3 linked regions of the Lytechinus pictus genome follow. The protein of the gene in region 2 purifies or fractionates together with the protein of the main gene of each other region. This does not show direct contact. Links are inferred from orthologs where the notes say so. Each region holds a gene or a part of one and is shown on either strand. Other genes may lie near its edges. The genes, in order: succinate dehydrogenase assembly factor 2-B, mitochondrial-like; succinate dehydrogenase [ubiquinone] flavoprotein subunit, mitochondrial-like; succinate--CoA ligase [GDP-forming] subunit beta, mitochondrial-like.

Region 1 (7,974 bases), on a different chromosome or scaffold from region 2:
GGGATTTTTTTATGTAGGGGGTTAAGTGCCCCTGCCGCCCCCCGGTTCCGCCGCCCCTGCTGCTAATATAGCCTCGGGTTATAATTTTTATCTAAGTTCAAACTGGTATTAACAAAAATATGTTGGTATGACTGCATTTTATAACGATGGTTTTCTTTAAAATATATATTTTTTACCATTTCGATCCATCACATTTTTGCATTTTTTTGTCCGTCGATATGCCCAGCGCTGAGAGGTCATGCCAAAACGTGATTTTGCATGAAGTACATTCTCTGAACCATCATCGGAACTTCGGAATCACACAGAGATGGAAGACCCCTTCCCCCAAATAGTTCCGCCTAGCTGTATGTCCTCGAATATATATATATATATTTAATAAGACATCAGAAATGCGAAACACAAATTCACGAGTAATGCAGTTTTTGCAATAAAATTTGTTTTTTATTATATATATATCACCATGATAAGTACGTAATTTTATTATCCGAGCACATGCAGCGGACCGAGGAGGAGTGGGTGGAGGGAGAGGCACCTAGGAGACGTCATACTTGTTCTTGTTCAGTATACTACCATAACAAGTTGAAAAGAAAAATGCAAAGAGAAACTTGGAGGGGGATCGATGTTACATGGTTATAACATGGTTATAACGGGTCGTGTGGTCCAGTGGTTAGAGCATTGGACTCATAATCGCAAGGTTGTGAGTTCGAATCCCAACTCTGCCATTGTCTCCACGTTTGATAAAAAGGCCCGAGAGTGATATCTGTCGTCTATAACGTCAGCCACTATGACTGATTAACCTAGACGTAAAACGTTTCATAGGTAATTGGTTATATACCAGCTTGGCGTTTACCAGCAAAATGCTGTCCTGCCGAGTTCCTATACGGGAGTTACCACAAACAGAAACAGAAACAGAAACATACAGACCTACGCACCGGTATCATAGGCGGATCCAGGAGGCCGACGTTACGCCCCCCCCCCCCCCCCGATATTGGCGGCGCAAAGTAATATGAACGAAAGCAGAGGGGGGGAATATAAGAGGAAGAATGAATAAAAAAAGGTGAGGGGAATTCAGACTTGGGGAGGGGTGGGAGCCAATCATGTCACTACACAAGTATAAAAACAATTTAGCCCGCGCTTTGTGTTCGCATTGCCTGTTCGATGGAACATATATTCATCTATACCAATTCATTTATTGATTTATTCATTCAGTCATGGTTAAACAGGTTCACAAGTTCAGAGTTATTAGTATATAAAATCATAGTAACAAGTACAATGACAAGGTATAATTCATATCGAAATAGTATGAGACAGAAAGAAATATTAACTGATCAATGTAATACAAAACACGGAAACATTGTTGAAGGGCTTATAGTAAAACGAACAAGGGAACTAAATAGGCCTTTACTTATTCAAATTTTTGAGCACCTTATCCGTCAGTGTGCATCTTAATTGTTTAATGATCATATTGCTCAGATCAATTTTCAGGACACAATACACAGTCCGAAAATAATACCTCACGCTCGCATTTTTTATAGGGTTTAGTACTGTTACGACTATAGATTCCAACAAAAACTAGCTTTGAGCTGCCGATCGATCGGGAAAAATGTGGATGAAAATATTGTTCACCCCGGCCCCGTTATTAGTGAAAGCTGGATCCGCCCCAGAATATATTGTTTAAAAAAAAAAGGCATAGGCCACGCGGTATTTGTCATTTTTTTTGTGATAAATACATTGAGGCAGTATATTGACAAATAATCACTGGAAGAGAAAGAGCATCTTATAGGCCTATATAACGCACAAAGCAAAATAATGAAGAATGGCGGCAAAGCTAGTTCAATACAAAATGATTTCCTTTTCCTTTAAAAAAAATGTTACAACACGTTATAATAATGAACAAATCAAAATACAGAACCTGAAGAAATTGATAACGATTCAGTGAATCGGAATCGAAACAAAAATGCGTATGTAAATATAATTATAAAATAGAAATAAAAAACGGGAAAAAAAATAAGAATAGCCCTTTCACAAGCAACCATAATTCTCCCTCCCTTCATACCCTGGACAAGTAAAGAAAAAAAAATACAGCTAGAGAAACGAAGCAAAGATGAAAAGCAAGGAAAGGGAAGGAAGCCGTCTCTCGGTACCTGGTACTCTGCCCAGATATCAAGATGTACGTAGGACCTATTCTCCGCGATTTGAAAAACAACGTGCATAACATCACAATTATTATGATGGTCATTTAAAAAAGTTCCTTGGTTGTTTCCAAGTTATTTAATTTGCCGTCGAGGGACTGCGCGAATGCACACGCTCCTACAGGATATGAATGAAAAAGTCGCAAACAGACTCCGCCGTTCAATCCGATACTGTACTGTATAGCCGGTATACAGATCGGCACGTGAGACAAGCGCAGAGGCGATGGATATGAATATTCATGAGCAGGTATTGATGTCATTTGGTCTCAAGGTGGCGCTCTTCATTTTTATATCAATTTCAAAATCTGCATCAAAAGAAAGCTCACTTGGCAAAATTTCTCTTCTTTATATATTTTTTTGAGAATAAAAACAGTTCTTTTGGCCAATGCAATACATTTTATGGACTCAGAACTTGTTTATGAGTATTTTGAAAAGCGAAGAGTGAAATCTAAAAGAAAGTTTTGAAATAAACCAATGTCACAATTTACCTTTAATCTTATATTACAAATCAAAAACTTTATAAAAAAAACGGAATTAAGTCCTACATGTATGCCTATGTGAGCCTTCCACCTACTGAGAAAAATTGGTAAATGAATTATGATGGGGGGCCCCATGTCTGTGCACCTAAAATTTTACTTTAAGATTGAACCTGAATTTCTTTTTATTCCACAAAAAAAATCAGTTGATAATGTTCCTAATATTCTTATAAGTGTGCCAAAAATCTCACAAAAATTGGGGAGAAAAATATTTGATTTTCTTGGAAAAAACCTTGGCTGGTCATTAATAGATTGAACAAAAAAGTGGTGGGAAAGAGTTCCTCTTGCGACAGCCACCCAAAATAACAAGATTGTCGAGACTTCCGGTTCAATCACTTTTTTTTTTAAAGGTGTTTTTACCTTAGCTGGGACTCGAACTCACATTGTTGTAATTGCAGTCAAGATTCTTCCCGCTATGCTAGCAAGAAGCGCTGATACCCGAAGGGGTTTTCTAGCGATCATAAGACAATACTTCGACTAGTCTATTAGGCTTTCAGACCCTTTACTGACCAACTTAACCGATGTCTATGGACAATTACATGCACTCGATTCTCCTCGAAAATTTGACGGAATAGAGCCTTATTTTGGTATGTATGGTGAGACTACCACATATCGACCACCTCTTTTTAAACCGACCACCTTGCGCGCGTTAAAATTATTGCGTATTACAAACGATACGTGCGGGAGAGTAGGCGCAGTGTCCATAGAAAAGGTAAGAATCGATTTTACGAGAAAAAAAAGGAGCAACAAGAAGTAAAAATTTAGTAGAATTAATCAAAATTGTATTGACCAGACCCAAACCCCGCTGAAAAACCAAGAAATCTGATAGGAAATGGCTCTAGAACTAATATCCGTCGTCAATCGTCGAATCATGTGCCGGAGCTCGCAGTGGAAGTAGTGAGACGATCATTTAGCATGTTGACATCATAGAACTGATTTGGAAGAGTAAAAATATTTCGCCACCGCGACAAGAATCGGTCGTAAACTTAATGTACCGCGGGTGGTCGGTTTCAAAAGACGGGTGCAAATGAGCAAATGTAAAATCGTTGTATTCGTTGGTCGTCGATATATACGCGGATTGAATCGGAGTCGCCGAGCGAAACATGGGAATCTGATCTGCTCAATTTTCTGCACAAATGAGACGAAAACTGGGTAAAATTGATGAATATTTTCGCAGATACGATGCTTAGAAGATTAGGTGGTCGATAAGGGGTAGTTCCAACCATACTTCCACTCTCCCATCATACATGTTCTATATCAAGGCTAGATATATTATTTTGAACCTTCTCCATATTTTTATTTTCAATATTCGGTGGCTGTGCCTGTGGCAAAAGGAACTCTTCCCAGGCTGTCACATGAAATGCCCGAAATTCATTAATATTTTTCCACCATTTTGAAGTTGAGTCGGATTTTTCAAAAAGAACAGCGGATTTTTTCACTTTTAATTTATATTTCATGAATGAGTCGCCACTCGCCAGTCTGTAATTTACCATCTTTTTCACCCTTTGGCTTTGCTTTGGCTTTACTTTAGTTTAGGCTTCAAGACTTGACACCTGCTAGACTGAAATTATTTCTGCTAAGTCACCTGCCGAACTTCAATCAGCAGAAACTTACTAATACTTAGTAATAGTAATTACTAACCTCGCAATACGTGTGAGTGGGCCGGGCCGAACGAAACGGGCGAAACAAGAGCGAGATCTCGAACTGAATTTTCCAACACAAAAACACACACTCGGGACTACACATAATAAGTCGATCAAGTTTTTTTAGTCCATAAACAATCACCTCATTTCGATCGAATGCGACACCGAAACACCACACGCTCTGCACCCGCCAATCATATTACTCCAAAATATATATTTAAATGAAAATTGAACACCAAAGGACCAAAAAAATCATTTAAAAAGATATATAAAATACCTGCTCAAGTCATTCAACGAAAAAATATTGTTTTCAGCTGTTGCTATGTTATTTTCGAAGAGGTAAAAATTAAGTCACAAATTACTCATTTAAGATTTCAAATCTATTCATTTTCATTATCAAAATAATAAATAACATGAAAATAAATATTTTACCAGTGACAAATGTGATTTAAATATATTTTTTCCGAGTTTAATTTCTACTTATATAAACAATTATAAAACTTTGTTTTATCCCAGAATGCAATTCCGTAAAAATGGCATCTTATGTAAGTCGTCTGCTGCGACCATCTCGTCGAATTCTTTCAAATTTTGAGAGAAAATCTTTCGTAAGTTTTAATTTTTTACTCATTTCATTAATATTTTTCACTCAATCAAAGTTGTAGTGACTTTCCAAACACTTTTTTTACCTTTCTAAAAGTGAATTGAAGTTTTATTTGGTCAGGAAAATGACTACGGTCCCATGTGTCCGAAATGGTGTCGCCATAACTCTACCTCTCTAACAACAATGAATGAAGCACCAGACTTTGATCATGTCCCCACCCTTTTATTTATTATGAATCATAATTAGATTTATTTCATGTTTTAAATATAGATCTAGATGTCGACTATGTGTGCATGTTAAGCCTCTCTTGTAGTTGTACACTTTGTTTTTTCCGTTCTCGGACTGTCTACTTGGTGGATACACATTTTGAATAAATATATTTTCATCTGTTCATAGATATAGAGAATAATACAAAAGAATAATAAGTGAGGATATAACATCATCTGTATTGTTAAGTCAGCAAAATATCAGGATTGGTACATCAATAATTTGCTCATCGAATATTCATGAAGACGACATGTCACATGCATAGAAATATTTCACCAAAGACAAAGTAATGCAAAGCTTTTTAAAATTAAAATGTCACAATAACATAAATTTGTTAGCTAGGCCTCTATCTTTTCTGATTTTAATGAAATTTCCATTGTTTTGTTTAATTGTCTTGTTTAATTGTCAGATTTTACTGTATCTGTTCAAATCAATAATTTCAGCTTAGAATATCTCTTTAAACCACTATAATTAACCTTTCATTAATTTAGAAGTTTTTTGCTCTTTTACTTTTGATATTTTGTGTAGTAAGTATTTTTCCATTAGATCTGCCAAGTAATGTAAATAATTTGTGCCAGATAGATACATGGGCTTGATCAGTCAGTTCTAAGTATCTTTTATTTCCTTTTATTCGTATCAGGTATTAAGAGAGACGGCATCCATGAGTACATATCAGTCTCCTTCAGGTGAACCCAGTATTCCAGAGTGGAAGCAGCCACAGAATGAAACCATTGAGCTGAAAAGAGCAAGGCTCATTTATCAGAGTCGTAAAAGAGGAATGTTGGAAAATGGAATTATTCTAAGGTACTTTTGACATGCATCACCATTTTAAAGAGAAATTCCAGTAGTTGTAGTAAACACTGATTTCATGAGAAAGTCTGTAAAACCAGGCTTAATTGTCAGTATATCATCGAGGATCTAGATCTGGTACAGTTACATAAACTGAACTTTGTGAAATCTTGAAATCTACGCTGAAAAATGTTCAGACTGAACTTCCCCAACACAGATAAGCGCACGTGGGACTGTGTATAATTATTGCTTTGAGCGTCGGGCCCGACGCTCTACCCGAATCCTGTGCTTATTTGCTGATTTCTCAGCAATTACACAATTTCTTCTAGAATCCTTTGGCACATGCGTTTCATTTATACAAACAGACACTTTGGTGGTCATTTCATTGGATTCTGTACGAACTCATTTTGATATCGTTACCAAAACTAGCATTTACCTTTAAATGGATGTCTCATTTAGGTCATTCCAATATTCACATGTGATGCATTTAAACAAATGATGTTTGTACATTGTAAGGAAATAGTATAAAAATTGGTGATTGATATTTCAACCACATCTTATTTCTAAGCCCCCTCACAGTCATCGAAGACTTTTTCTTATAGAATAAATCCGCGCTGAGCAATAATTATTCTGTTTGGCAACAAACAACTTCTCATGCTTCATTTTCATTTTTGAAATATTCTTATTCAATTACAGTAAATCAAATACAGTAATCTGTATTCCTAATCCCATCTCTTCTGCTCCATGTCCAAATCTCTCTTTCCTCTCTTCCCCTATTTTCTGCCTCTGTTTCTTCCTCTCACTCATCCTTTCTTAACTCAGCATACATTTATCCCCTGTCTATTGAATCCCTACTCAGTTTTTTTTCTATAAGATATTTTTGATAAAGACATCAGTCCAAATGTTGATCCCGAGCTAGCTGCCATGTTCATATTTGACCACTGAATATATGAATATATACTGTCTGATATGAGTATTGTGTATTGTTTAATGTATAGTGAAATGATCATGTGTCACTAATCTTTAATCTCACTTTGTTTACACATTACAGCACATTTGCTGGTCGTTATCTAGAGGGATTTGATGAAGAGCAACTTGACCAGTATGATAACCTGATCAATAAGCCTGGCAATGATTGGGATCTCTTCTATTGGGTAGTTGGTAAGTTAACACATCAACTCCTGAATTATATTATTCCCATGACCTTTGCATAGGGACCATGCATACAACAGACCTATAGCTTGATGTGTTATCCAATGCTTTACCAGATTAGCAACAACAACCAAAAAAAAAAGTTAGGGACAAGCACCAATATTACTTAAAACATATTTGAAGGAAATATCTGAAAGAAAATTGTCATATTATATTCAGAAATGAAAACCCCCAAATATTCTACTAGAAATAATGATTCTATTGGTGTTGAAGTCTGGTTTACATGTGATCAATCCTTTTTTTAATATTTTTTTTAATAGTTTTAAAACTTGTTTCGACATAGAAGTTGTAGAATTTATGTCAAACAACCTTTATGCTACTATTTAAGCAGGGAATATTCTTAGTTTACTTTTAACCATAGATGACTCACTATCATTTTTATAAGTCATTCTCTGACAAAAATAAGCTGCAAAAGAGCTTCTATTGGGTTCAATACAAAATATAGTTTGAAATCAAAAGAATTAAAAAAAAACAGCCTCCATAATAATAAGCCTTTTAGTTTTTCAGGAATTGGTTTCCACTTTTGGTTTTGGCTTTCCCTGGCCACTTTTCTGTTCTTTTGTATCAATTTATGAAAATCATTAAAAAAGATAACATATTAATGTACTGAAATTAAATTTATACATGTAGATACATTGCATTTCAAGAAATGATTTATAGTCAATTAAAAATAAATAGTGTAGTTATAATTTGTATTATTGTATAAATGAATAAATTATATATTGTTAAAACAT
Region 2 (7,570 bases):
CGTGTACACTGTATGTTACCCTATCAAAAATTGCATGCGATTCATTCTGTGTGTGTTCTGTGTGTGAATGCCAGAATTTAACGGGAGGAAAATGGTTCGCAATTTGAGTCATGGAATATTTTTCATGTTTATGTTGGACTAGCGAATTTGACCATTTCTGAAAAAGTTACTGGCCCAACAATAGTTTTTATTACTGTTTATGTCGGACCAGTAAATCTTGCTATTTCTGAAAATCTACTGGTCCGACAGTGATTTTTACCGGTCTGGGACCGTCGGACCGGCGCTAGTGTCGAGCCCTGGTTAAGGGTATCGAAAACACAGATATTCAAGAAAAAGGGTGGTTTTGAAAGACTGGTCAATCGCGGGGTCAAACGTATTTAGGGTATGTTTTTTCCCCCAAAGCTTTTTTCTTTTAAAGACTAGCCAAACGTGTTTAGGGTAATTTTTTCCCTGAGGTCATATTTTGGCGACACTTGTTTAGGGGCCAAAATGTATTTAGCCTGCGAAAAACTTGTTTAGGGGGTCATTTTGCACACAGACACAGAGAAAAACTTGTTTAGGGGGTGTTTGGAAATTCCTTGGTCACGCGTGTGTACAGGAATATATTTGACTGCCCCAGTCACATATAGACATGGATCCTCACAGCAATGCCGGCATGAACCTTCAAAGGCCTAATGCATATGAAGGGGTTAAAAGTTTAAAAATAAATAAAATCAAAAATATTTACGTGATTTTTATCTTAAAAGATGGATTTCCTAGGGAAATCCACTTTGTTTACATGTGTCTCTATCATGACTATGATGGCAGGCGGTTCAAGGCTCCATGTCTGAAGAAGTATATGTCAAAATACTATTATTAAAAAATATCAGACATGGAGTCCTCAACTCAAGGCTAGATTTTATTATAACTCTGAACAGTCATGACAGTGGCGGACCGTTACCCGGAGTAGCCAGGCGGCTTCTAGAGAGTAAAAATCATTTATTAACGTAAGGTTACTCTCATACGAAGCCAGGCCTTCTATCTCATAGACCCACACAGAGCCAGCCAAAACCTGAAACTTTCACCCCCGAGATTTCTACTTTCCTTCTAAAAGATCTAGCTCTAAAACATGTACATGGGATAAAACTTAATTTCCGACATTTCTACGCTCTCGTTGTTATTTTTAAAACAAGAATTCATCAAAAAAATGAAAAAATATTGTGAAAAGACGGAAGAGACTTGCCCGATGTTTACGCCGCCATCTTGTTTCTTATTGTACTTCCCCAACGTTACGCGACATGTACATGATTTAGAGCTAGATCTTTTAGAAGGAAAGTAGAAATCTCGGGGGTGAAAGTTTCAGGTTTTGGCTGGCTCTGTGTGGGTCTATGAGATAGAAGGCCTGGCTTCGTATGAGTAACCTTACGTTAGTAAATGATTTTTACTCTCTAGAAGCCGCCTGGCTAACCCGGAGGAGACAAAATCACAAAGCATTGCCATTGGCACAACAGTAGAGGCGCACGGCCAATATGGGAGACTCTCTCCAATAGGGGAGACAATCTCCCATATTGGAGACTTGCTTTGCAAAAGAACAAAAGAAACACCAACAAAAGTCAAAAGCGTTATTTTTTCCACCCAAAATTTTGTCTCACTTGGGTCAGAAGCCCATTTGTTTTGTGTGTGGATGACAACAAAAATCCTTATCAAAACAAAAGTAGATGGTTAATTTTTTTAAGTAGATGGTGAAAAGGGGTAATTTTTCATGAGGAATCTGCCAATCACAGTTTTATTTGCCGCCGAGGTAAACCTTTTGCAGCAAATGTAAACAAAGGAAATTGGTCTCCCAAACTGGAGACTGTCTCTGAAATTGGATACCCAAATTATTTACAAAAGTCTCTGATATTGGAGATAATCCCTCTCTTGACTTGGGAGACAGTCTCCCATATTGGCCGTGCGCCTCCGGCTCTATACTGATTGGAGGGGTACAGCATGCAGCATTGTTCACAAAGAATACAGTGTCAGTGCCCCTCCAATCATTTGTCCCCTTGGCTTTGGGTCACGGTCCACCACTGACTCTGAAGATACGTCATTTTCAGAATTCGGCCACTGGCCTGAGCGCATCGACATGGCCACGGTCGAGCCGTTGCCAGCACTGTAGCAGTGGCAGTGTCAGTGAGTACGTACGTGTTGATCGCGTAGATCTACCTCGAGCGAAGTTCGTGCAGGCTCCACTCCACTTCACTACGCTCCACCTACCCGAACTTCGAGACCATGAACTCGATCAGATATTCCGAGTGACAAAAGGTGGGATTTTATGGGGAGAAAATACAAAATTCATGCAACATCACGATCTTTAAAAACAAGTAAAACTAATATTTTTACTTTACACAAAGTTTCACTTCTTTTCAATGCTTCTATCAGTCTCAAAATTGATGATTTAAAGCCAACATGAAGTTCCTCACACGTAATAATTCACTGCCGATTTCAGAACATCGCATGCGCGCGAGGGTCCGAGCTCGGACCAGACCCGGTACCTCCCGCATGCGATGTTTTGAAGTCGGCAGCGCATTAATATTATACGTGTGAGGAACTTCATGTTGGCTCTAAATCATCAATTTTGAGACTGATAAAAAGTGATAGAAGCATGGAAAAGAAGTGAAACTTTGTGTAAAGTAAGAATATTAGTTGCACTTGTTTTTAAAGATCGTAATGTTGCATGAATTTTGTATTTTCTTCCCATAAAATCCCACCTTTTGTCACTAGGAATATCCGATCGAGTTCATGGTCTCGAAGTTCGGGTAGGTGAAGCGTAGTGTAGCGGTAGTGAAGTGGAGTGGAGCCTGCACGAACTTCGCTCGAGGTAGCGTAGATCGTACCGCGGTACTTACAAGTTTTGGGAATATGTCGATTTTCTTTGCAGCTGACCATAATCTCACTCCAAGCTGACTTGCCATTGTCATTTATTGAAGGAGACAACACTGCAATCACTCAAATCTATTTTCCACAGATATTTAAATAGGTTTCTAATCTTTTCCTGTCGTCTTCGTCCCGGCTTCCCAATTTGCTCGGCTCAAATTTCTATTATGAAATATCCTGCATATCGGATTTCGCTTGTGTTCGTTCAGCGCTAGCGCTACACTAGCGGGTGTTCGTTTTGCGTATAAACTCGGTGATACTGGTGGAGTCAGCGAAAGCCACTTACGAAACTTGTCACAATTCTCGTTACATAATAATGCTTGAGGAATTGGGGCGGGGAAGGAGGCCCTTTTATTGGGTTTTTTTCCGGGTTTTTTGTCCCGTTTTTTTGTGTGCACAATATGCAAGGATGGGAAGGATGTGCGACGTAGGTTCCTGCGACATTTGCACAGGGTTAGAGTTAGGATCGCAATAGACTTATTGGTTCAGAAGAATGGGGCCCGAGCATTAGGGTGAAGCTCAATGCGTGATAAGCATGGGCGGAAATCCCAGGGGGGACGCGTCCCCCTACCAAAAATAGTAGGGGGACACAGTATCGAATGTCTGGCCCTACTATTTTTGTTCTGTTATGATGGTTAGAAATACGTCATTCTTCACAATCGAAATAATACATGTATTTGGACTAAATGACCTTGTATATATTTTGGGTGAAAACCTTTTTTTTTGCTTGTCAAATATTTTTGTTTAAATGACCTTACATTTTGGGTGAAAAACTTTTTTTTTTTTTTTTTTTTTTGCTTATCAAATTTTGCAGCCCTGGTCCCCCTACCTTTGGGGACAGATTTCCGTCCATGGTGATAAGTACAAAAAAAAAGAGAGGGCACAGCATGGCGCGCGGAGCAAAAATTTCAAAAAAGTCCCAAGCGAGCGTGAACAAAATAACCTTTTTATGAAAATCTAACTTTGAGATTGATTTTGACAAGGTATTCAGAAAATAACATCATATCTTACATCTTCCTTTCCTTTCCTTTATATTTTTCATCTTTTCTTATTTGTTCTCGGTTGCATAACTTTTGGGGCCAGTGCTATGCGGATCGGGTTCGGGGTAATGGCATTACAAGGAATTTTAACTCGGGGGAGGCAAAAGAACATTTGTGTGTGTGGGGGGGGGGGGGGGCAATACTCAAATATTTTGCCTATTTCTTAAAATCGAGCAAGAAGCGCGACCTATTTTTTTTATGTACACATGTAGACCCTATAACAGGAAAAGGGACTTGAAGCGAGCTGTTTGCACTGGGTCATGAAGGTGATATCTCACCAGATGAAATAATGCGAGCGCGAAGAGCGAGCTGAAATTTTTTGATATCCTGAGATGATGACTGGACTTTCTAAGCACTTTTTGTAGTCATTAACTGGATGGCTACCTAATTTATAAACAATTGATGCGAGCGCGTAGCGGGAGCTGAAAATAAAGTTTTGATTTATGAAAATTATGAATACGCAGGATGTGTATCTCGCTATAAAAGGAATAATGAAAACTCTAATCGCGAGAAGCATATTGACTTGAACATTGGATTTTTAAGCCCCATGTGAACAGATAATTTGCTTATCTCAGTCAACAGTTACATGCGAGCGCGTAGCGCGAGCGAATTTATAATTTTATATAATGACATGAAAGATTAAAAAAAATGTTGGGAGCTAACAGTGAATGGATGAGAATGTTTTAAAGAACGAAACAGCTGTTTTGGAGCACTTTGCAGCTTTAGTAGGATGCTTATGACAACATTTACGAAATAGTTTGAGGCAGAACAAGTAGCTAATGTGGAAATATTTGTAAAAGTCGCCAGCGAGCGAAGCGAGCCAGATTTTTTTTTGCCTTTTTAAATGATTTTGAAATGAAATTCTAATCATGTGATAGTAGATTTGGAAATTTAGCCAAACAAAAACAGGCTTTTTACGGTAAATCTTGCCAGCGAATGGCTTTACTTAGGTTAGGACATAACATACAATGATACAAAGGATATAACTAGCCCTTGGCTAAGGATTTTTGGGTCCTGATTGCGACCATTATCGCCTAAAATTTAGCAAGCTTATAACAAACGCCATCCACCTTTCTTCCCGTTCTTCATATTTTTCAATCCTCGGCAGCCCGATCGTGTTATTATAATAATTTTTTTTCTTGTCCATTTTCTTCATATTCTGGTTTTCCAATCTAGCTTTTAGCTCTACCCTCATTTCCAGTTTCTTTTTGCCTCTTTTCCCCCATTTTCCCGCCATTATTGCCCGTGCCATCGAGTCATATCTTTTGATTTCATATCCCTCTTTGCTAATCATGCTATTAGTATTTCAGGATATTTTGTACTGATCCTCACAAGTAATAAAGTTATTGAAGTTTAAAATTTAGCAATATTTTGTGAAAACAGTCTTCATGAATATTCATTAGGTGGGCTAATGATGTCACATCTCCACTTTCCGTTTTCTTATGTTATTGCATGAAATCATATTTTTTTCAATATTTCATACTTGTGCGAATAATATGTCTCCCTTATAATGAAATAAGTTGCAGCAATAAATATCTAATGCACTAAATCAGTTGTCAATCCAATTTTTCTAGTTCTTGGAGGAAAAAATGTGAATAAACCTAATTTCGTATAATAAAATACAAAAGAACAAGTGGGGATGTGACATCATCAGCCCACCTAATGAATATTCATGACGACTGTTTTCAGAAAATATTGCTAAACTTTAAAATTCAATAACTTTGTCATTTGTTATCCGATTTTGATGAAATTTTCGGCATTTTGCTTAGTGAATTTGACTCTATTTATTAAGCTATAAATACTTTCGGCCTGGACCATCCCTTTAAGGCCTACTTTTCAAAGCTTATTTGGCCTTGATGACTTTGAGCCTTGAAATTTCAAGGCTTTTTCAAAGCATTTTGTATTTTATACTTTTGCATTGCTTTTATATAAGTAATTATACATGTTTCAATCGTTCTGTATATCTAATGACACTATCCTAGTCAATAGTACCAGTCAGCAGTAGCAGTAGTAAGTGTACTATACAGCAGCTATAGTGCCATCAATAATTGTAATTATCACCAAGAAAACAGCAGTGATGAAAAATAACATTATTTATTGGTAACGTGTCATGAATGATTATGACAATATTAATAATAATGATGGTAATAATGATAATGATAAAGATTAAAGTGATTTGATGACAGGAATAATTTTGACAGATCTGACTGCAATTTTGACAACAATTTTCATACTTTGAAAATACATGTAACTAAACTCTAAAGAGTGATAACAAGGTTGATTTCTATTCCATTAGGATTTTCCTAGTATTATTTTCTTTAGCCAACAAGAATGTTTTCATTCTTAATGATATTTGGTAAACTTGAACACAATCTTCAATATCCAAATGGGCTATTTCAAAAATTTGAGGGGCCAAGCATGGCATATAGGCAAAATTTCTGCCCCCCAAAAAAAGTTGAAAGCGGTTGAAGCGAGCAGGCGAGCAAAAATGTTCAAATATTAATAAATCCTAAACGAATTGAAGCCATCAGCATATTAAAAAAAAACATAACCTCGGCCTCTTCAATCAGATTTATTCAATCCCAACAACAAACTCAGCCCTGGACCCTACCCCCCCCCCATCCTCCCTAAAACACCCCATCCCCTATCCGGAGGAGAACTGGCTCTGGGCTCCAGTTAGTGCATGGTCTAATGTTTAAGTATTCCCATTTAGAGAAATGGATTGTAACTCTTTGATCCCCCTAATACTATTTTTTATTTCATTCAATGAAGGAGGGTTTTTTTTTATTCTCGGTCTTTGTAAATAAGATATTTAACAAAATCAAAACATGATTAATTAATTGATATTTACCTTTACTTCTCTCCTGCTTCCCGAAAAGAATTTCCTACCAACTAAATTTATTTAGCCTGGCGTAAATCATCGATATCGATGGAATAGCGCCATCATCTCTAAAACCAACCAACCAACAACGCTTCCATGAAATAGGGATGAATAATTATATTACTCAGTGTAATGTCACGGAACATTGACTGCAATCAGTGTCCAAAATGTTGTTTTTCAAGATTTACTTAGGCATAAAAATTCCCTCTAGTTGGGACGGGTCCAAGATTTTCCAAAAGGGGAGTCACATTTTCCCTAGGAAAATTTGACAAGCCAAAAAAAAAAGCTTCACTAAAAAAATGAAGGTAATTTTGTCTCACATAAAATTGGACAAGCAAGAAAAAAAAATACCCACTTATTTATGAACGACATATTCCCATTAAAATGAATAATAATTGCTGTGACTCTCTCTCAAAAAAAGGGGGGGGGAACACATGCACCTTTGAATGAATTTATTAGAACATCATTGGCAGCTGTTAATATTCTTGCTGCAGGCGCCGCGGAACGGTTTTCAAAGTGGGGGGGGGGGGTGAGCCAAAAGTGGGGGGGGGGGGGGCTGACCATGATAAAAATCACAATCATATGGTCATTTTTACATTTTGGTACACGGTTTTGAAAAAAGTGGGGGCCCCCCAGCCCCCCCCCCCTGTTCCGCGGCCCCTGTGCTGGAAACAAAAATGCAAAGTAGTACAAACCAACATTTGTACAAGTTTTGAAACATAAACAAATAAACGAAAACTTGATAACAGTATTT
Region 3 (7,138 bases), on a different chromosome or scaffold from region 2:
ATAAAGTATAAATGTTTAGCTATATAGCTGATGCTTTGATCCCGCAACCAAATAATGTTATCATAAACTAGTAGATGTTATATCAGTCATGTCAGTGGCGTAACAAGTGAAAATAATTGAGGGTACTACGATATGGCGTATCAGGCAAAATTTATAAAATATATAGTTGCAAGCAAGCGACATAAGCATAATTTTGACTTTTGGTTACAAAAATCCAATTGAACAATTTCGCAAGATTCTCTTACCTTTTCCTTTTTTTTCTTGTTCGTGAATTGGGGGCATGCAAGACCCCACCCCCCCCCCCCCATACAGCACCACTCTTTGTTGTCACTGTCTAAAATTTGATTTAAACTTTGAGAATTTGAATTTCTTATCTAAGTAATCCAAAGGGATAAGACAAAAATATTTGCAGATTACTTATTTCAAAGTATTTTTATACCTATAACTCCCCAACTCTGCTCTAGCTGCACTGCACGTTGCCTAACGGCCTTCCACCAAAGGGCCAGGCCGACTCGCCCCGTGAGCAAGTGACCGCGTTCGCGTAAGTTCACCCGAAGCCATGACTGAATTCTGACCATAAACATCACCTAACTAATCACTCTCTGACAATATTTCAAAGTATCTTTTATTACAGTCGATCCTTTGGGCCATTAAACGATAATATTTCCAATGTTATCATGACAAACAATTTTAATGAGATAGTGGCATTGTAGAAAAAACAAATTTATAAGCACGAAATGGCACCAGATAAATCATCAAACATACAGCGCAGCGTTCGGGACTGGTGAGTGGTACGGCTCTCTTGGAGTTTTCGCCCCGACGAATTCGGCGAAAACGCTACCATTGCGCCGTGCGAATGTTCAATCTGCGGCTCTCAATCAGAGACTTGAATGTCTCTTTTTGCATTATCGAAAATGTATCATAGACTTTGTTTGATTTGTTTACAAGTAAGTTGCATATCCGTCGTGATAATTAGGAAAATCCATGATGTCTTCTTCTAATTCTGTAAAAATTACCTCTTCAAAGTGCCTGTGTCAGAAAATTGCCGGAAATCGTAAAAACTTGCCTAAAATGTCTCTTTTTGAAAGTTCATCCATGGTCTGGAAAAAAATGTTATAATTTATGTAGACGTATACCGTAAACAAATACATCCTCGATCACTGAAATGAAGTGTTTGCTAAGCTTTTATATCTCAGACCGCGTTACCATGGCAACTTGGGAAAACCTTCATTTTTTACTAATAAAATTCTGGTTTTAAGGGTCATTTTAGAGACATAAAACTAACCATATTTTGAAGTATTGGGTTTAAATTTCAGGAACAACTGCAGAATACCCCGCACGACGAGAGCATGGATGTTTGAATCGACCAACGACCTACGATGTGATGAAAGGATGTTGGAACAAAGCCGAGTTGTGACTAAAATTCGAACTTGTTTACGTCAAGCCAACGATTGATTACGCGATTTTTGCATAGGGCATGCCGCCAACGAGCCAACGATGCCAACGTTGTGAGATTGGCATGCTACCAACGAGCCAACGATGCCAACGTTTTGACTTGCGTTGGCTTGCTACCAACGAGCCAACGATGCCAACGATGTGAGTTTGGCATGCTGTCAACGAGCCAACGTTGTGAGTTTGGCATGCTGCCAACGAGCCAACGATGCCAACGTTGTGAGTTGCATTGGCTTGCTGCCAACAACGTTGGCAGCACGTTGTGAGTTTGGCATGCTACCAACGAGCCAACGATGCCAATGTTGTAAGATTGGCATGCTACCAACGAGCCAACGATGCCAACGTTGTGAGTTTGGCATGCTGCCAACGAGCCAACGATGCCAATGTTGTAAGATTGGCATGCTACCAACGAGCCAACGATGCCAACGTTGTGAGTTTGGCATGCTACCAACGAGCCAACGATGCCAACGTTGTGAGTTTGACATGCTACCAACGAGCCGACGATGCCAACGATGTGAGTTTGGCCTGCTGCCAACGAACCAACGATGCCAACGTTGTAAGTTTGGCATGCTGCCATCGAGCCAACGATGCCAACGATGTGAGTTTGGCATGCTACCAACGAGCCAACGATGCCAACGATGTGAGTTTGGCCTGCTGCCAACGAGCCAACGATGCCACGTTGTGACTTTGGCATGCTACCAACGAGCCAACGATGCCAACGTTGTGACTTTGGCATGCTACCAACGAGCCAACGATGCCAACGTTGTGAATTTGGCATGCTACTAACCCTAACCCTAACCCTAACCCTAACCCTAACCCTATGCACATAGTAGGAACATCGTAGGTCGTTGGCTCGCCAACGGTATGCGCGCGATCGCGAGAGTACAAGCATGCGCGCGTGTATTCGTATGGCTCGGAAGTACAGTACCGGTACGGGTCGTATCGTAAAAACTGACAAGACAACGAATCTTCAGCCCGTTCAGGATCGATCACGTCGAGATTGATTCTGATTCTTCACATCGTAGGTCGTTGGCTCGCCAACGTTGAGGTAATGAAATGTGCGGGGTATTCTGCAGTTAAGCCAATATTCACATAAAACTGAATTATCTATGTTTATACTTTCGTATATGAATATTCATATTTCTTGTAGAATCTTAGTTTTTGATTGGTCAATGTTTCAGTCATGGATAATAACTGAGCGTTAAAAAATCTGAAAATGCGCATTTTATCGGCAACCAACAAGCAAGATGGCGGAACACATTAAGTTGGCGCTATGCACGTACGTGGGCCCAGCGCATAAAGTAAAGAGTTAAGAAAGGCCTAGGCTACATAGTTCCCTAGGCATGGGACTGTAATAAAACAATTTTGGAGAACCAGCTAGATCTAACTTTACAATACATATAATTCATTATACTAACAATATATAACTAACTTTTTTTTTATAGATATCAGAAAAATATTTTGGTTAATAGAGTAAACTTACATTTCGCTGGAGGACTGTCTGAAAAGACTGGCGACAGCCTGATATTAACCTTGCAACATGGGCCATTACGAAGGGTGAAAAGGGTGGATCTAAATGGAAAAACCACGAACACAAATTAATTTTAAAATGATGGCGCTATTGCTATTGCTCGAGCTGTCTTTTTCACTGCACTTTCTTGAGCCGGGGCCTTGAGCTAGCTAGGAGGAGGTGTTTTTTTATAGTTTTTTTTAGGGGGTGGGGGTGGTAACTCTCGTATACGAAGCCAGGCTAGAGGACACAGGGACATGTCCCCCATGTTGATAGGCAGATAAAAACAACAATGAAAAAAATATAATAACCGGGTCGGATAAAAATAAAAAAGAGAAGAAGATAATAAGATATAAATATAATGATCCATAATTATGTTGACTGGCCACTATCCACAACTTAGATATTGATGTGTGTTCGAATTTAGGAGATACTTTCTGTCATGCGTGTTATATATATTTTTTTATTGACAAAAAAAAATACGATTGGTTTTGGTTTATTGCTTGCTTGCTTGCTTGATTGGTTTGATTGATTGATTGATTGATTGATTGATTTAATTTGCCAACGGCCATGGTCTGTGAAAAAAAATGATAATGGAAGTAAGCTGAGGAATAATTCACGATAGCTCTGAACTTTTTACAATCATCATAATCATTTTTGTGCTCCCTCTTTATCATCATAGGCATACTTTTTGTCAAATGATTCATCCTAAAATGATGATGTTCAACTAATGGGGGATGATAACATAGGACAACTCACCCGTGACATAAGTTGGGGGATATATCCCCCCCCCCGCGATCTACATCCATGCCCCGAAGCTTATTTCGAGAAGGGCCCTCGACATGTAAGAAAAAATCCATAACAAGGCACTCTGAAGGAATACAAAGTCAATAATACAGGCGTGAAGCGTATAGCTGACATTAAATTTATATATAGGATTGACCTGAAAACTGAACATTTATTGTTAAGCGCTTTTTGATATTGTGAATACAATGCATATGCCACCAAAATGAATAGGCCGACCTAAAGTGACTATTTATATCCTTGAACAGAGTACTTATCCCACTATAGACAAAAATTACCAACGCGAAGAGCGAGCTGTTTCTTTTAACCAACATTCAGACCTATGAACTGCACTATTTATAGGACAAGTCCACCCAAGAAAAATATTAATGTTGATTTGAATCAATAGAACAAAATCTAACAACCATAATGTTGAAAAGTTCATCAAAACCGGATGTGAAAAAAGTTATATGACATTTTAAAGTTTTGCTCATTTTTCACATAATAGTTATATGCACAACTTAGTGACGTGCAAATGAGAGATATGATGATGCCCCTCACTCACTGTTGTTTTTGTTTGAATTATACTATAATTCATTTTTTTGTGTACAAATTTGACAATAAGGCCAACTTGATTGAACCATAATGTTGCCCACGTTTCAGTACAATTCTTCACAAACCAGCTTCCTTTATTCATGGCTCAAACATGTCAAGTTGCCAAGAAACTGAAGAAAGGTTCCAAAACAATATAATTCCACATATTCTGGGGAAAATATGCTCACATTACCATGCTGGATAACATTAAAGAACATTTCATATTTCACAATAAAATAAGGAAATAGTGAGTGCTATAGGTGACGTCATCAATCCCCTCGTTTTGACAGACGAAATTACGCGAAACTTAAAAATTTCATAACTTTCTTATTTTACCTCCGATTTTGATGAAACTTTCAGTGTTAAGCTTGTTGGATTTTTCTCTATTTATTTAAATCAACTTTTTATTGGGGTTGACTTGTTGTTTTGTAATTGTAACACTTGAAATATTATAGTAGCGTGGTGATTGTTCAGTGTTACAAGAATGATGAGACAAATCAATAGTCTGCCACACAATGATTACCATGATTACAGTTCATTAGTATTTTATATTCCAAAGATGATAAATACCAATCATAAGATGTATATACCATAGGAAATATAGCTGGTTATAAAAAGGCTGTTATAATATTAGGTACTCCCCCAACAAAGGCCATATGGTAACCCCTAAAGAGGGATGGCGAGGGAGACCAAGCACGCATGCAGTGTCCTCTCGTCAAGAGACGGAGAAGAGAAGTCCTCTTTTAATTATTTTGGGGGTACATCTCTTAGTTTTGCACCATTAGGGGGGAGGAGTTAAACAATGTATAAACTAATCAGGAAAGAAGGATGGAGCATAACAAAAATGAAAGGGTATTTGCACCTGAAGTCAGGGAGCAATTATCTGGGAAGGAGGTTGGATGGAGGATAAAGTATATTCTCATTATGGTATCTTAGGAGGAATTATAAACACAATGCGGGACATAATGCAAGGATAAGGCCACCACATCAATCTGTGCAAACAGGTGATGGGTGTGTGGTCATTAATTTTGCTCTAAACAAAAGGAGTTGTGTCAATGGACAAAAGAGCATTGAACTTACTTTCGACCAATTTACTATCTGGAGTTTGTGAGTTTACACAAACGTCCAAGCATGTTTAAAAGTATAATCAGTTTTACAAAAATATGGAATGCAGGGTGTTATAATAATCATGAACATGATTTGTAACTGAATGAACCTTACTATAGCTCGATCGAAAATAATCACTGCTTCACCATGTTATCCTCATGAATGCGAATGCATTGGCAAGATTGCTATATATGCTAATTTGCTTCCTCTTCAGATTTTCTTCCTCTTCTTCAATTTCCTTTTTTTTTCTGTTCCCCCCTCCCCCCCCCCCCCCCGTCTCCCCTCGTTTTGTGCAGCCTGTAATAGCGGACCGCTATATATACAGCGTCTCCCTGATCAGCCGAGATGTCTTATAATTCCAATCCCTTAAAGGACAGGTCCATCCAAACAAAAAGTTGATTTGAATAAAAAGAGAAAATGCCAACAAACATAACACTGAAAATTTCATCAAAATCGGATGTAAAATAAGAAAGTTATGACATTTTAAAGTTTCGCTTAAATTCACAAAATAGTTATATGCACATCCCGGTTGGTATGCAAATGAGGAGACTGATGACATCATCCACTCACTATTTCTTTTGTATTTTATTATATGAAATATGAAATATTATAATTTTCTCTTCATTGTCAAGTGAAAAAAAAAACAATAATTCCTCCCTGAACAGGGACCTGGGAAGCGGGGGTGTATGGGGGTGCTGCGTGTATTATTTTCCATAGGCAGCACCCCCACGAAATCGGGTTCCCCCCTGTATTTTTTAAAATATGTTATAATGTACATAATTATCACTTCCGACAATCGCAAATCATTTACATAGTCTTTCACATATTCCAATAACATCCCTCCTATAACGCGACTCAATCAAGCTCCAGCGGGGCAGCACTCCAAAACAGACGGAGTCGCGCGCAATACGTGATAACCATACACACTCTTCGATATCAGGGAAGGACATGGGGGTGGTTGGACTCGAATCAAGTGAGCCCGCGCCCGACCGCCCGTGTATTGTATACAAAAATTAAAAGTCAGATAATATAAATCAAATTTCAGTCTTTTTCGCCCTGCCCCATGGCCCTGGGGGCTGGGAAGCGGGGGTGCTGGGGGTGAAGCAACTCCAAAATTTTAGGGTGCTGCGTGTGTTATTTTCCATAGACAGCGCACCTCCTGGAAATCTAGTGGTAGGTATGATAAATGACAGAAATGTAATGAAAATGAACGACGTTTTGTAGAACCCCCCCCCCCCCCCACTTCAGAATTTTCCGACACATTACTTGAAATAGTGTTTAAATTCACCCTCTTTCAGATCGGAATATCTAATATTTTCTGCTCGCGCTTCGCGCTCGCATTATTGATTTTTATAATAAAAAAAGTGTATTTAGAATGCCCAGATACTAGGTCGAACTCTAAACACGCGCAGGCATGTTTATTCAGATACGCAGCTTGATTGGGGGGGGGGGGTACTCCGGGCTGAAAATATTTATATCAAATACATTTTATCAAAAATGAATAAATTTTATCAAAATCTGATAACCATTAGTTAAATTATTTAATTCTAAAGTTTAGCAATATTTTATGAAAATGGTGATATGCATGTCGTCATAAATATTTCATAGGTGGGCTGATGCTGTGACATTCCCAATATCCTGTTTCTTGTGAAATCAAAATTGTTTCATTTTTTTCATACCAGAGTGAATGAT

Evidence for each region.
Region 1: the proteins of succinate dehydrogenase [ubiquinone] flavoprotein subunit, mitochondrial-like (region 2) and succinate dehydrogenase assembly factor 2-B, mitochondrial-like purify together in Homo sapiens (co-immunoprecipitation; 3 studies listed by BioGRID and IntAct, counting the BioPlex papers as one, with this or other methods). This does not show direct contact. The link is inferred for Lytechinus pictus from reciprocal best matches to the Homo sapiens genes SDHA and SDHAF2.
Region 3: the proteins of succinate dehydrogenase [ubiquinone] flavoprotein subunit, mitochondrial-like (region 2) and succinate--CoA ligase [GDP-forming] subunit beta, mitochondrial-like fractionate together in Homo sapiens (co-fractionation; 3 studies listed by BioGRID, with this or other methods). This does not show direct contact. The link is inferred for Lytechinus pictus from reciprocal best matches to the Homo sapiens genes SDHA and SUCLG2.

What each region holds. Positions count from the first base shown.
Region 1 is NC_087260.1:13,420,949-13,428,922, forward strand, and holds the start of succinate dehydrogenase assembly factor 2-B, mitochondrial-like, read left to right. Parts: upstream 1-4,881; 5' UTR 4,882-4,904; coding exon 4,905-4,976; intron 4,977-5,879; coding exon 5,880-6,043; intron 6,044-7,079; coding exon 7,080-7,189; intron 7,190-7,974.
Region 2 is NC_087245.1:35,499,888-35,507,457, forward strand, and holds the start of succinate dehydrogenase [ubiquinone] flavoprotein subunit, mitochondrial-like, read right to left. Parts: upstream 3,093-7,570; 5' UTR 2,940-3,092; coding exon 2,868-2,939; intron 1-2,867. UniProt on the Homo sapiens protein: Flavoprotein (FP) subunit of succinate dehydrogenase (SDH) that is involved in complex II of the mitochondrial electron transport chain and is responsible for transferring electrons from succinate to ubiquinone (coenzyme Q).
Region 3 is NC_087247.1:36,259,939-36,267,076, reverse strand, and holds the start of succinate--CoA ligase [GDP-forming] subunit beta, mitochondrial-like, read right to left. Parts: upstream 3,064-7,138; 5' UTR 3,002-3,063; coding exon 2,936-3,001; intron 1-2,935. UniProt on the Homo sapiens protein: GTP-specific succinyl-CoA synthetase functions in the citric acid cycle (TCA), coupling the hydrolysis of succinyl-CoA to the synthesis of GTP and thus represents the only step of substrate-level phosphorylation in the TCA.